2 linked regions of the Saccharomyces cerevisiae S288C genome follow. The protein of the gene in region 2 binds, or shares a complex with, the protein of the main gene of each other region. Each region holds a gene or a part of one and is shown on either strand. Other genes may lie near its edges. A codon is read from its position in the direction of its gene.

What was found.
Region 1: the proteins of STE18 (region 2) and STE4 are in contact, whole or in part, in a cryo-EM structure (PDB 7AD3), measured with the Saccharomyces cerevisiae proteins. Residues at the interface, in NP_012619.1 of Saccharomyces cerevisiae: Arg50 (codon at 5,155), Ile51 (codon at 5,158), Thr52 (codon at 5,161), Ala53 (codon at 5,164), Ser54 (codon at 5,167), Asn55 (codon at 5,170), Ala56 (codon at 5,173), Cys57 (codon at 5,176), Leu58 (codon at 5,179), Thr59 (codon at 5,182), Ile60 (codon at 5,185), Ile61 (codon at 5,188), Tyr63 (codon at 5,194), Thr64 (codon at 5,197), Ser65 (codon at 5,200), Thr67 (codon at 5,206), Lys68 (codon at 5,209), Asp69 (codon at 5,212), Tyr70 (codon at 5,215), Thr71 (codon at 5,218), Leu72 (codon at 5,221); in NP_014855.3 of Saccharomyces cerevisiae: Ile60 (codon at 3,435), Ala63 (codon at 3,426), Ser64 (codon at 3,423), Leu65 (codon at 3,420), Met68 (codon at 3,411), Ala69 (codon at 3,408), Leu75 (codon at 3,390), Lys79 (codon at 3,378), Asn81 (codon at 3,372), Phe279 (codon at 2,778), Asp281 (codon at 2,772), Ser284 (codon at 2,763), Met296 (codon at 2,727), Asp298 (codon at 2,721), Arg300 (codon at 2,715), Ser301 (codon at 2,712), Ile305 (codon at 2,700), Ser360 (codon at 2,535), Gly361 (codon at 2,532), Arg362 (codon at 2,529), Leu379 (codon at 2,478), Gly421 (codon at 2,352), Tyr422 (codon at 2,349).

The regions. Positions count from the first base shown.
Region 1 is NC_001147.6:739,636-746,521, reverse strand, and holds STE4 (G protein subunit beta), read right to left. Parts: upstream 3,613-6,886; coding exon 2,341-3,612; downstream 1-2,340. Other genes in the region: SPR2 (Spr2p), read left to right, coding at 219-929; SAS5 (Sas5p), read left to right, coding at 1,241-1,987; dynamin-related GTPase MGM1, read left to right, coding at 4,953-6,886. UniProt on the Saccharomyces cerevisiae protein: Implicated in the a- and alpha-factor response pathway. The beta and gamma chains of the putative yeast mating response pathway G protein play a positive role in initiation of the mating response.
Region 2 is NC_001142.9:581,061-586,900, forward strand, and holds STE18 (Ste18p), read left to right. Parts: upstream 1-5,007; coding exon 5,008-5,340; downstream 5,341-5,840. Other genes in the region: YJR079W (uncharacterized protein), read left to right, coding at 1-179; AIM24 (Aim24p), read right to left, coding at 1-556; EAF6 (Eaf6p), read right to left, coding at 854-1,195; ACF4 (Acf4p), read right to left, coding at 1,548-2,477; YJR084W (uncharacterized protein), read left to right, coding at 2,673-3,944; TMH11 (Tmh11p), read right to left, coding at 4,060-4,377; EMC2 (Emc2p), read right to left, coding at 5,435-5,840. UniProt on the Saccharomyces cerevisiae protein: Implicated in the pheromone A- and alpha-factor response pathway. The beta and gamma chains of the putative yeast mating response pathway G protein play a positive role in initiation of the mating response.

The sequences.
Region 1 (6,886 bases), on a different chromosome or scaffold from region 2:
TCTTGCTAACTGTCATTTGCCCTTTGTTTATAAAAGAGGCCGCTTTTGTATAATGTATAAATTATTCTTTTCCTGAAAGTATTTGTAGTTATCCAAGACAAAAAACCAGCAGCTAACATTGCTACACATAACTAAAGAACAACACCAAGCCAGTAACTAGCACGAAAGGAAGGAAAGTAAAGTTTTGTATCCCATTCTCTTTTTTGATCCTTATTGAAATGTTAGGATTATATCTATCCTCCCTTTTCTTCGCCTTTTTTATGGCACAAGTGTTTGCTACCAAATACTCAATTACTTTTACATCAGATGAGTATGAAGAAGATGAAACAGGACAAAATGAACCTGGTCCTTTAGTTTTCCATTTGGATAAAAACTCATTACCACCAGCTCTGCTAAATCAAATGGAGTTTAATCCATACTTAGTATTAGCAGATTTACCGGAGGAGCCGCGAGCTGTTGATTCTCAAGAACATACCGATACGGTCCTTGCTTCCAAATCTGTTATAGATTTTCTGTTGGAAGATCCTCTAACAATAGTGGAGCACAAAAAGTTTTCTCAAATTGAAAGTATTCTACATGAAATTATGGAAGACAGCATACAGAAGAAAGTCGGGGCAGACGAGGTATTTGAAGAGATTCCGAAACCGAAAATTTACGCGTATGAAGATATTTTAGTAACTAATATGAGCATCATCAATAATAGTGAAATGCCGACAAGTACTGCAACATTAACGAGCACCATTTCTTATTTATCTAGTACGACAAGTTTAGCTTTATCCACGGGTGTTACCAGCGTTGAGATTTTCCCAACAATCACCCCGGGAAATATTACAACTATTGGGGGATACGAAAATTCATCATCCTCCTTAATGCCGTCGATGGGAATCTTATCTTTTCTATTTGGTCTGTACTTGTTACTTCACCCTTAAAGTTCGGCAGTCATATAATCAAAGTTTTGATAGAGAAAGCATTTATATAACATATAAGCAAATGACCAATTAATGGTATTATTTAGTGACGTTTACAGCTGGCGCGGTCGCGTTACACGGGCAAGAAAAAATCAAAGCCACATCAATAAGTCATCACCATTAGAGAGTTGCACGACAACAAACTAGAACAGCCATGTTCGGGTGAAGAGGAAGTGCAGCAACTCAAGTTTTTCTACAGACTAAATTGTTTTTACTCTTGACTCCAAAAGCCCTTTTTTTTTTTTTTGGTGCCATATAATAGACGCTCTTTTATGGATCATTCAATAGAAGTCACTTTCAGAGTAAAAACACAACAGGTTATAATACCGGAACAAAACATCCGGGGAAATGAACTTCCCTTACGTCGGTGGCAGATGGAACTCCTCATGTTAGATGCAACAGGAAAGGAAGTGGAGCCTACCATCCTCTCTAAATGCATCTACCATTTGCACTCTAGCTTCAAACAGCCCAAAAGACGACTGAACTCGCTGCCATTTTTTATCAAGGAAACCGGTTGGGGAGAGTTTAACTTAAAAATAGAATGCTTTTTTATAGGTAACGCTGGAAAGTTTAGCATTGAACATGACTTAACGTTTGAAGATGATGCATATGCAGTTGACTATACCGTTGATGTGCCTCATGAATTCTCACATCTCAATAGTGAACTATCTAAATATTTTGATCTCCCGTGGAAAGTAGTGTCTCCGGAGGAAGAAATGTCTCTTCGTATAGCCGATTTGCCCTGGATTAAAAGCCTTGCGCTTATAGATGAGGATATGATGACGGACGTGGTTCAGATGATATTGAATGATCCTGCAGTACAGAGAGCAATTGAAAATCATCCCAGAAGGGAGCAGTTTTTTATGTTTATAACACAACTACCAGATGATTTGTTAATGAAAATTCAGGCATTTTTGAAATTACCGAACAAAAATTCCACTAAACAAGAAAGGACAAATTTTGGGTCAGACGCAATACATAAGGACGAGCCAGTGAAGGCTCATAACAAGCTAAAGTAGGGACAGCCATCATGAAATTAAACAATGCCTGAAAACATAGATGATTCTAGCAAGTTGGTCAAATAAGTCAGTGAATAATACTGTTTCCAAAACGATTGAAAAGAATTTTTGAGTGCATGACACTTTTGTTCGTTTTTGTTTCGTTTATCCAAAGAGAAAAAGGAAGCAAATGACAATGCTTTGAATTTTCATTGTTGAATGTTTTGACTTACTTTATTAAAGGACGTTTTTGCGCTTCCACAGAACTAATGTTACTGTTGTTATTCTATGTAAATATGGGATGGGTGTAGGTATGTATATTTATATAATAGCATCCATTGATAATTACTGCTCACAGTATTTCCAATTCGAAGCTATTGATAACCTGGAGACCATATTTTCATGGTTGAGTCCCATGAACCTGTACATACAGCTAACCCATCTGGACTCGAGCGCACACCAGTGACTCTGCCACCATGACCTTCTAATTTTCCAACAATCTCTCCTTTTAATACATCCCACACAACACAACCAATGTCTGTATAGCATGAGTACATCAATCTTCCAGATGCACTAAAATCTAAAGAAACAACGCCTTGGTTGTCTAGATAGCTTGAGCTTGTTGATTTTAAAGTTTGTGGCGATTGCGCGGTATTGTACTCCATGTTAGCTGCCATATAAGTAGGGGTAGGGGTACGTTCTTCATAACCTCGAAAAAGAGAAAAAGTAGCAATAGAACAGTCCGACCTTAAATCATACATATTTATCGCACCATTGTCACTTCCTGCAACAATCGACATCCCGTCTTTGAAAAAACGAAGTGCATTAATATCACTATCGTTAACGTAAAAGCTTTGTACAGCGGACGGAGATCTGCTATCCCATATGTAAGTATACCCGTCTGATCCACAGCTAGCGAATGTGTTCGAAGAATTTTCTGAGTTTGGCTCTTCAGGAATAGCTAATGCCAAAACATCACCTAAATGGTCAGAATATTCTCTCACCCTCTTTGCTTTCGGTATATCCCACAAGGCACATGTCATATCCCCACTTGCTGTCAATATATGTGCGTTATCTGTAAATTCAATGTCAGAAATATAGCAAGTATGTCCTTTGAAAATTGACGCAACGTTTTGCGCTACTCTGTTTTCTTTCGAAACTCTATAAATGGTACAGTTATTGTTTAATCCTGCGCTTGCTACCAAAGTACTCGATGGCGAAATAGCGCAGGAAAGAACCCATTGAGAATCTAATGGAATAGCGTTCTGTTTTAAACCTGAAGCACTGTCCCATATAAGCATAAAGCCATCTTGACTTGCACTCAAAATACGTTTTGAATCTCGACTCCACCGAAAATCTGAGATTTTATTATTATGGCCTTTCAACACGATATTTGGCTTTAAGTTGATCTTATTTTTGGTCAACGAAGTAACTTTGTTGGCCATCTGGAATAAGCTTGCATCTTGTATCTTGTGTTTTGCTTTATTTATTTGAGCATGAAGCTGTTTACTCTCTTGTCTGGCGGCCTCTATTTTATTTTGAATTTCATCCTCCACTGCAGAGATATCCTGTAGACTTTGTGGTTGTATATACTGTTGGGTGACATTATTAGAATACGTTATCGAGTCCATCTGATGTGCTGCCATCGTAATGTGTACCTGATTGAGCTGTACAGTTTTTTGAGTATTTTCTTCCTTGACTTAATGAACTAGCAATATCGTATTTTCTTCCCTCTTTCCTTCCAATAATTCTGGCCTATTGACCTTGAGTTCTGGCACAAAGGAGATTATGAATAAAATGTGCTTTACAGCGAGTTACTACAAAAAGGGGAAGAAAACAATTAGAAAAGTGATAAGAGATTTTGAGGATACTGTTTCGATATTGAAGGGATTCAAGTCATGTGAAGGATGGACTTCCAAAAAAGTTTTATGTTTGAAAGTTTAAGTTACAACTAATATGAAACAGGCAAGTGTCAGTTGAAAACAATCTGAAAAAATTTTCGACACACAGAAAAACAACTGTTGGGTAAACCTAACAGGGCTACAAGTCAATCTGTTAAGGCAAAAAGCCTCACAAACTTTTTCCTGCGTAACACATGTGTCTTTTTTTTACGCAGTATCTCTTCCTGAAACATTTTTCAACGCGTGTAAAAATTTGCATCTGACGAAAGTGCGTACAAAGGGTTGTGGTCCCAAAAGAGGTAGTACACGCCGAGAATTTGCACAGGGTACTGGTTACAAAAGGTAAGTACCCCCCGCAGGGACGGTTGAAGCTATTGAATCTTCGTCTCATCGGCTGATATCAAAATCCGATCATACATACCCATCTCAATCTCAATAATTGACATTTCATTTAGCCAGAGAAGAACATCGACAAGTAAGCTGTTCTTCTGCTCGCTAATGGTAAATGAAGTAGTCGCTCTTAAGTAATTATAAATAGTACATCTCTCTCAGCGGATGACATATTGTGATAAAATTTTAACGCAGGTGTCAGTAAATAACAGAGTTGTAATTAGTTTTAACTGCAAAAGACTTCGCAAAGAACATATGGCGGGGTTTATCCTTGAAAAAACGGTTTCCATAGGAAGCCTAAAATATGAATGGATCTAGTGTACTCTTTGAGGAAATATATTTCAAATATTTCTGTCCATGAAAGATTTACTATGAAATTAACCCTCATTCAGCGCTTCGTATTCGATGATCAATATGCAAGTTGTTAATATTTCCTTGTACCGTTAAAAACAAAATAGTAGCGTTCTATTGAAAGGCAAGACATAATCAGCTAGGAAGGTTCACACCAGTTAACGGGAGAACACGAAAAAGCCTCTTTTTGGGTAGTACAGATATCATTTTATTCTTAGGCTTTTCCATTCTTTTCGTACTTATAATATAGCCTCGCATATTCACCATAATACTCTGAAAGCATGAGTAATTCTACTTCATTAAGGGCCATCCCAAGAGTGGCGAACTATAACACATTAGTAAGGATGAATGCGAGCCCAGTACGGCTTTTAATTCTGAGAAGACAGCTTGCTACGCATCCGGCGATACTATATAGCTCTCCTTACATCAAAAGTCCGTTGGTGCACTTACACAGCCGCATGAGCAATGTTCACAGATCAGCACATGCCAATGCTTTGAGTTTTGTTATCACCAGGAGATCGATATCACATTTTCCTAAAATTATATCTAAAATTATTAGGTTACCCATATATGTGGGTGGCGGGATGGCTGCTGCAGGGAGTTATATAGCTTATAAGATGGAAGAAGCTAGCTCTTTTACTAAGGACAAACTAGATCGAATCAAGGATTTAGGTGAATCGATGAAGGAAAAGTTTAATAAAATGTTTTCCGGTGATAAGTCACAAGACGGTGGTCATGGAAACGATGGAACGGTGCCAACTGCTACTCTAATAGCCGCTACATCACTCGACGATGACGAAAGTAAGAGGCAAGGAGATCCTAAAGATGATGACGACGAAGATGATGATGACGAGGATGATGAAAACGATTCTGTAGATACAACGCAAGACGAAATGTTAAACTTAACCAAACAAATGATTGAAATTAGAACTATTTTGAATAAAGTGGACTCTTCTTCTGCACATTTAACTTTACCATCTATTGTCGTGATAGGTTCACAATCGTCTGGTAAATCCTCAGTACTAGAATCCATTGTTGGGAGGGAATTCTTACCAAAAGGTTCCAACATGGTCACAAGAAGACCCATTGAATTGACTTTGGTCAATACACCTAACTCGAATAATGTAACAGCTGATTTTCCAAGCATGCGTCTATACAATATCAAGGACTTTAAAGAGGTGAAAAGAATGCTAATGGAACTGAACATGGCCGTTCCGACTTCAGAGGCTGTTTCAGAGGAGCCTATTCAATTGACAATCAAATCGTCCCGCGTTCCAGATTTATCATTGGTGGATCTACCTGGCTATATACAAGTGGAAGCGGCAGACCAGCCAATAGAACTGAAAACAAAAATCCGTGACCTCTGCGAAAAATATTTGACTGCACCTAATATTATTTTAGCAATTTCTGCTGCGGATGTTGACCTGGCTAATAGTTCTGCTTTGAAAGCTTCTAAAGCGGCAGATCCTAAAGGCTTGAGAACGATAGGTGTCATTACCAAACTGGATTTGGTGGATCCTGAAAAAGCAAGAAGCATCTTGAATAATAAAAAATATCCTCTCAGTATGGGCTATGTAGGAGTGATTACTAAGACACCAAGTAGTATAAACAGAAAACACCTAGGTCTTTTCGGTGAAGCACCTTCTTCGTCATTAAGTGGGATATTTTCAAAAGGCCAGCACGGCCAAAGTAGCGGAGAAGAAAATACCAATGGTTTAAAACAAATTGTGTCTCATCAATTTGAAAAAGCTTATTTCAAAGAAAACAAAAAGTATTTTACCAATTGCCAAGTTTCCACTAAGAAATTGAGAGAAAAGTTGATCAAAATCTTGGAGATTTCCATGTCAAATGCGCTGGAGCCGACTTCAACACTTATTCAACAAGAGTTGGATGATACTTCTTATTTGTTTAAAGTAGAGTTTAACGACAGGCATCTAACTCCTAAATCATACCTTTTGAATAATATAGATGTACTAAAGTTGGGTATTAAAGAGTTTCAGGAAAAATTTCATAGAAATGAACTGAAATCAATCTTGAGAGCAGAATTGGATCAGAAAGTTTTAGATGTTTTGGCTACACGGTATTGGAAGGATGATAATCTTCAGGATCTATCTTCCTCTAAGCTGGAAAGTGATACCGATATGCTATATTGGCATAAAAAATTGGAACTCGCATCATCCGGCTTAACTAAAATGGGCATTGGTAGATTATCTACAATGCTTACTACCAATGCAATTTTAAAGGAGCTAGATAACATTCTGGAGTCTACTCAACTAAA
Region 2 (5,840 bases):
TTGATGAGTTCGAGACTAAAGACCTTGCAGAGGGAAAGATAGGCGATTTGATTTCCAGACTGGAGTTCTGTTCAAATGCGATAATTGAATCCTTGCCAAATACATTCCAATCCTTTGTCCCGGTCAAATTCAGTACGGACAAGCTTCTTGAAGAATCGAAAGGTCTTCTCGATGTTTGAAAGTTTGGGGCAGCCAGAATTTCTAAAACGGAGGATCCAATAATTCTATGAAACAATGAAGATTTGAATGAACGAAATTTAATCAGGTTTGACCAAAAATTCAGCCATTTATAGGAAAGGGATAAATGGTTCAAATTGTGAATGGAAACTAGGCAATCCTTTTTGATACAAATTGGAATATCTGGTTGAACAGTGATAGATGCAATTTTACCATTTTCGTCTACTAGCCTGAAACGGGAAGTCGCAATATCCTTGCTTAAGTTCTCGATATATGTCCTTTCTTTAGTTACGACATTACTCTCCGTCTTGGCCGCTTGTGGGCTCAAAAGAGAAATTGATCTCTGCCAAACTCGAGTATTCACCCTTGGGCTTATCATGATGGGTGGATATCCTTTTCTGTGCTTCTGTTTTGTTTATCTGTATCCGTTTATTCGCCAGCCAATAAAATGACTGGGAGCACGGGACCTTTGAAATTTTGCCCTTGTTAGTAAATCGTTATAAAAATACTTATATAGATATTTTATAGAAAATGAAAAATAAAAGAAATAGCCAATATGTAGGTATATCGAACTTAAAGGTCACCTGTCGAAATCATTTCCTTCTTCTCTCTTTTTCTTTTCAATCAGATGTTTTAGAGCGGTCAAGCAACGTAAATACCAACGTGTGCTATCGCATTAGTCGTTTTGTGATTGGCCATGCTGCTGCTTCACGTACGTAGCACTACTTAATGAAAAAATACGATCATTGTTATTGAATGCAGAATCTGCATGGCTGTGGTGTGACTTGGAGAAGGTATCAAACCCTTTTATGATGTTACCAGAATAGTGTGATTTTGACCCATGGGCTCCCCCATGACCTGAATGGTTGTTATTACTATTGTGTGAGAAATACTCGGTCTCTTTATCATATATCTCTTGTTGTAAGTTGTCAAAGGTATCTTCTTGCTCTCTTCTATCTTGGAGGGACTTTTTTAGTTCCGCTTTCAATGCTTCATAACTTTTCAGCTCATCAGTCATTTTCTTCTAGGCGTAGGTTGGTAACAAACGGAAAGATGATGGAAAATGGCTGTTCTCTAAAGATGTTTATCTTACGTATATTCTTTGCTTTCGTTGTGGCTTTACACACCTTTAATCATTAATTTAATGGCATAGTCGGCAAGTTGTTGAAGGACCTGGGTTAATCGCCTACATGTGAGGTTTTTTTAAAAATATCAATTACATTTAAAAAAGGAAAGCAGTAGTACCAAAAATCGGGCAAAAAAAATTTACCTAAATAAAGGAATGCATAAATGAAGCCGTTTAATCTTTGTATTTAATGAGAATATTACATATGAAGGTCTCTTGAGAAAGCATCAATAGTGGACATTAGCTACCTTTTAAATAAATGAACGGGTATGTCACCCATGGGTTCAAACTCTTCATCATCCTCGTCTTCACTGCGTACTTCATCGTATTCGTAACCCAAATTTTCTTTTATGTAATAGTGATCTTTCTTACTTTTCCTCTTTTCCAAAAGGTCATCGAATTCGTCCTCTTCCATATTCATTTGATTGAATTTGTTAAGTATTCTTTGTAAGAATGGTGTGTTCTCCCCAGCAGTTGCCGTGGTATTAGCATTCTTCATAGTATTCCTTGGGGGTAGCAAGGGAGGACCCGATGTTGGAGTTGATTCTGAACTACGGCTTGGAGCAATATTTTGCATACGTTGTGACCGATTAGGCGGAGGGTTCGGTTTACGATTGGGTAGAGTGTTATTTATGTTGCTATTAACATTATTATTGGGCTTACTAAAAAAATCGTTTATACTCTTTTTTCCCTTGAGCATATTTGGTGAATTATTTACGTCCACAAATGTCTGTTGAATTCTTTTGGTAAAAGTAGAGAGGTATTCACTTGGGTTCTGGTTACCTAATTTCTGTTGTCCATTTCGGGGCAGTGTATCTTTGAACTGTAACTCTAATTGTTTTAATTCTTTTTGGGCGACCTCTAATTTGAAACTAAGTTCATTGATTTCTCTGTGTTTTGCAGCTAATTTATATATTAAATCTTGGTCTGTTGAAATCGGACTTGCGTGGTCGCTCACGGGTGACTGATTTGTCGTAGATCTTTGCGGACTTGATATAGGTATAGCAAGTCTTTTGGGCTTTAAAGGTGTCGTAACCCTTGGTGATTTTGATTCAGGCTGCACTTCATGTTGTTTTTGATGCGGCTGTTGCTGCTGTCCTTGGGAGTGTTTATCGACAATCGACAGCTTATGTAATTCAATTGGTTGACTAATTACACGCTGGTCTTCTGACATTACTTTAGGGCGTATGTATGGATGTATTTTGTATTGCTTTTGGCTAGTTAGTAGTATTCCTCAATCGTATTGTTTTTGATTTTGAAAAAGCTAACGATAAAGGTCAGGAAAAAAAAAGAAAATTGTATGTAAAGGAATGTCTGGAGAGAGTTACACAGGAACAGAAAGGTCCAGCAACGGTTTCTACAACCAATCATGGATGTTGATATAGGATGTTATTTTGAAGAGAAACGCTATGACGACAAACTGTTAGACTTCATCAGATATGACGTTAAAACACCTAAAAAGACTAAATATATACTACAAAGGCCTACGGCGACAGATGAAGAGAGTGTACGATTACAAAGGTTTTACCAATTAGGAGTAGATCTAAAATTGAAGTATTCCAAGCGGAGGTCATTGAAGAAGCAAGGGCGGATCAAGAATGCTACTGAGGAATTGCTGCGATTAGCCAATGAACAGTTGAAACTTTTCAACAGAATAGTAGAAAGAGAAACCAATTGGATAATTTATCCGCTGTGGGTAATGGCTAAACAATTAATTCGTCTGGCAAACGAATCTAGTGAACTTAATAAAGACTCAATTGAGGAATGTGGACGCACTATCCATAGAAGCTTTACTATATGCCTCAATGATAGGAACCCAAGATTGAATGAAAATAAAAAAATCGGGTGTTATATGTTTGCTAATCTAGAGTTTTCCATCTACCATCGGTTAAGTAATAAAGATATGATTAAAAATTTAGTGAAAGTCCTCGAGAGCAGAGTGAACGCCCGGGATATACCACCGTTGAATAAAAGCCTGGCAATGGAACATAAGTCTCAAGTGGTGTTGTATAATTATTATCTAGGTCAATACTACGGATGTCTGGAAAACGATCACGAACGCGGGTTCTTCCATTTAAATGAAGCATTATTGCAATGTCCAATGCTATATGTGGAATCTACCGGCAAGTTCGTCTTACAGGGCCAAATGGAAAAGATAATGATACTGCTGGTTCCGCTTGCTCTTTTAACTAAAAGGTTGTACCCTCACTGGGATCATCCAGTAATCGCCGGAGTAATTACTAGGAGTAAGCGCTTAAGTCAAGTTTATCCGACATTAGTGCGTAGCGTAATCTCAGGGAACCTGTCACTGTACGAGGCTACCGCAGCAAGCCATGAAAGATTTTTCCTTTCGCAAGGATTGCATGTCGTCATCACATTACTTCGAGAGGTGGTCTTCACTCGGTTGGTACAACGATGTTGGCAATGGGGGAATGATCGGAAAAGTATCATGCCCTTGAAAATTCTTCTGGCAACAAAACAACACGATAGTTCTGCCAATGAGGACGAAGAGGAGCAGTTGGATGCCCTAGAATGCCGTCTAGCAAGTGCTATAGCAAGTGGGCTTTTGCGTGCTTATCTTTCTCACTCCAACCGCTGCATCGTTTTCAGTAAGAAGGAGCCCTTTCCCCATAGCAAATGATAGAAAAATAGTCAATAATTGAACGAAGAAAAAAAAAAGAAAGTTTGTTCATAAAAGAATATCATATTATATATATATATAGGGTCGTATATATATCGTGCGTCTTCTTCCTTCTCTAAGGGTAAAATTCCTTGTATTTGTTATAATAGTAGTAACTGCCGAGCCCACCCAAAGCTGTCAAAACGACAGGGACAGGTTTAGTGAACCTGGAAGGCATGCCTCTTATGACACCAGCACCAAGTAGTAAGGTCGATGCACCCAATGCCATTTCGAGCCCACCATCTCTATTCATATGTAGCAAGTAACCGGCAATCCCATATACACTACCGAATACTAAGCCAGATACTAGAGATGGAATGGAGCCCTTACGGTAGTATCCCATAAGGCCACCGGCTGTAGTCAAAAGACTCAATGTATATGCTGGATGTTCCATAGTGTGATCTGATGTTCCTTTCTCTCAAACTTCGTTTCTGTCTTGTCTCCCGCTGTTACCTAATAACTTCATGTGATCTGCTCCCCCTTCTCGTTAAATACCACCTTTTCATCAACCCCGTAGGGCGCGACACGTCTAAAATATTAACCTCTGAATACTTATTGGGTCAAAATGAATGTTGATAACTTTCCTTTACAAAAAAAAAACTAATAGAGTATATGCATTTCGGTAGTGAAATATTCGTTAATGCTAATATGCTCAGTAGTGATCCTAGATTACCAGTTTTACTGCAGCCATCGTACAATTTTGGAACGAGTATAAAGAGAGAAATTAAAAACGACAAGAAATATTCGTACTAGCTTCTCTTCCGGCTTGATGACAGTCTTAATATCATCTGCAACTCTTGAAATCTTGCTTTATAGTCAAAATTTACGTACGCTTTTCACTATATAATATGATTTGTCAATGTGATGAGTGAATGTCTCCCTGTTACCCGGTTTTCATGTTGATTTTTGTTTCAGGCTCTAAATGTTTGATGCAATATTTAACAAGGAGAACAGAAATGTTTTGTGACAGCACCTGTCAATTTTAGGATAGTAGCAATCGCAAACGTTCTCAATAATTCTAAGAATGACATCAGTTCAAAACTCTCCACGCTTACAACAACCTCAGGAACAGCAACAGCAACAGCAACAGCTTTCCTTAAAGATAAAACAATTGAAGTTAAAAAGAATCAACGAACTTAACAATAAACTGAGGAAAGAACTCAGCCGTGAAAGAATTACTGCTTCAAATGCATGTCTTACAATAATAAACTATACCTCGAATACAAAAGATTATACATTACCAGAACTATGGGGCTACCCCGTAGCAGGATCAAATCATTTTATAGAGGGTTTGAAAAATGCTCAAAAAAATAGCCAAATGTCAAACTCAAATAGTGTTTGTTGTACGCTTATGTAATGATAGTAATAGAATCCAAAAAAAAAAAAAATATACATGCTTTTTCATATCCTCTCTCACCCTATCTTTTTTTTTCTTCTAATTTTGGCTCCGTTCATATCTTATTCAAAATTAATTCAGCGGTAATCTTATCTTTATTGTTAGACTTCGCAGAAATTTCCTTTAGCTTCGATGCAGATAGTTTGATCAAGTCATTTTGTTTATTACGTCCCAGTTCGCGAGAAATGATGTTAACCAATGCCCACCCTTTTAGGTATAGTTCGCTAAGTTCAACGCTCCTCAAAGCATTCTTTAATGCCTTTTCCAAGAGCTCGGTCTTGGTTTGTTTCTTGCTACGTAGAGCCTCATAATACAGAGTCTCACTTAGCCTACCAAAACAAGCGTAATTGAATGGTGTAATACATAGGACCTGTTCCAAACAATAACAGGCTTTTTCAAATTGGCCCATTTCGAAATAAATCTCGCTGGCATACCACCACAATTCTGCATCAAGCGGGAAT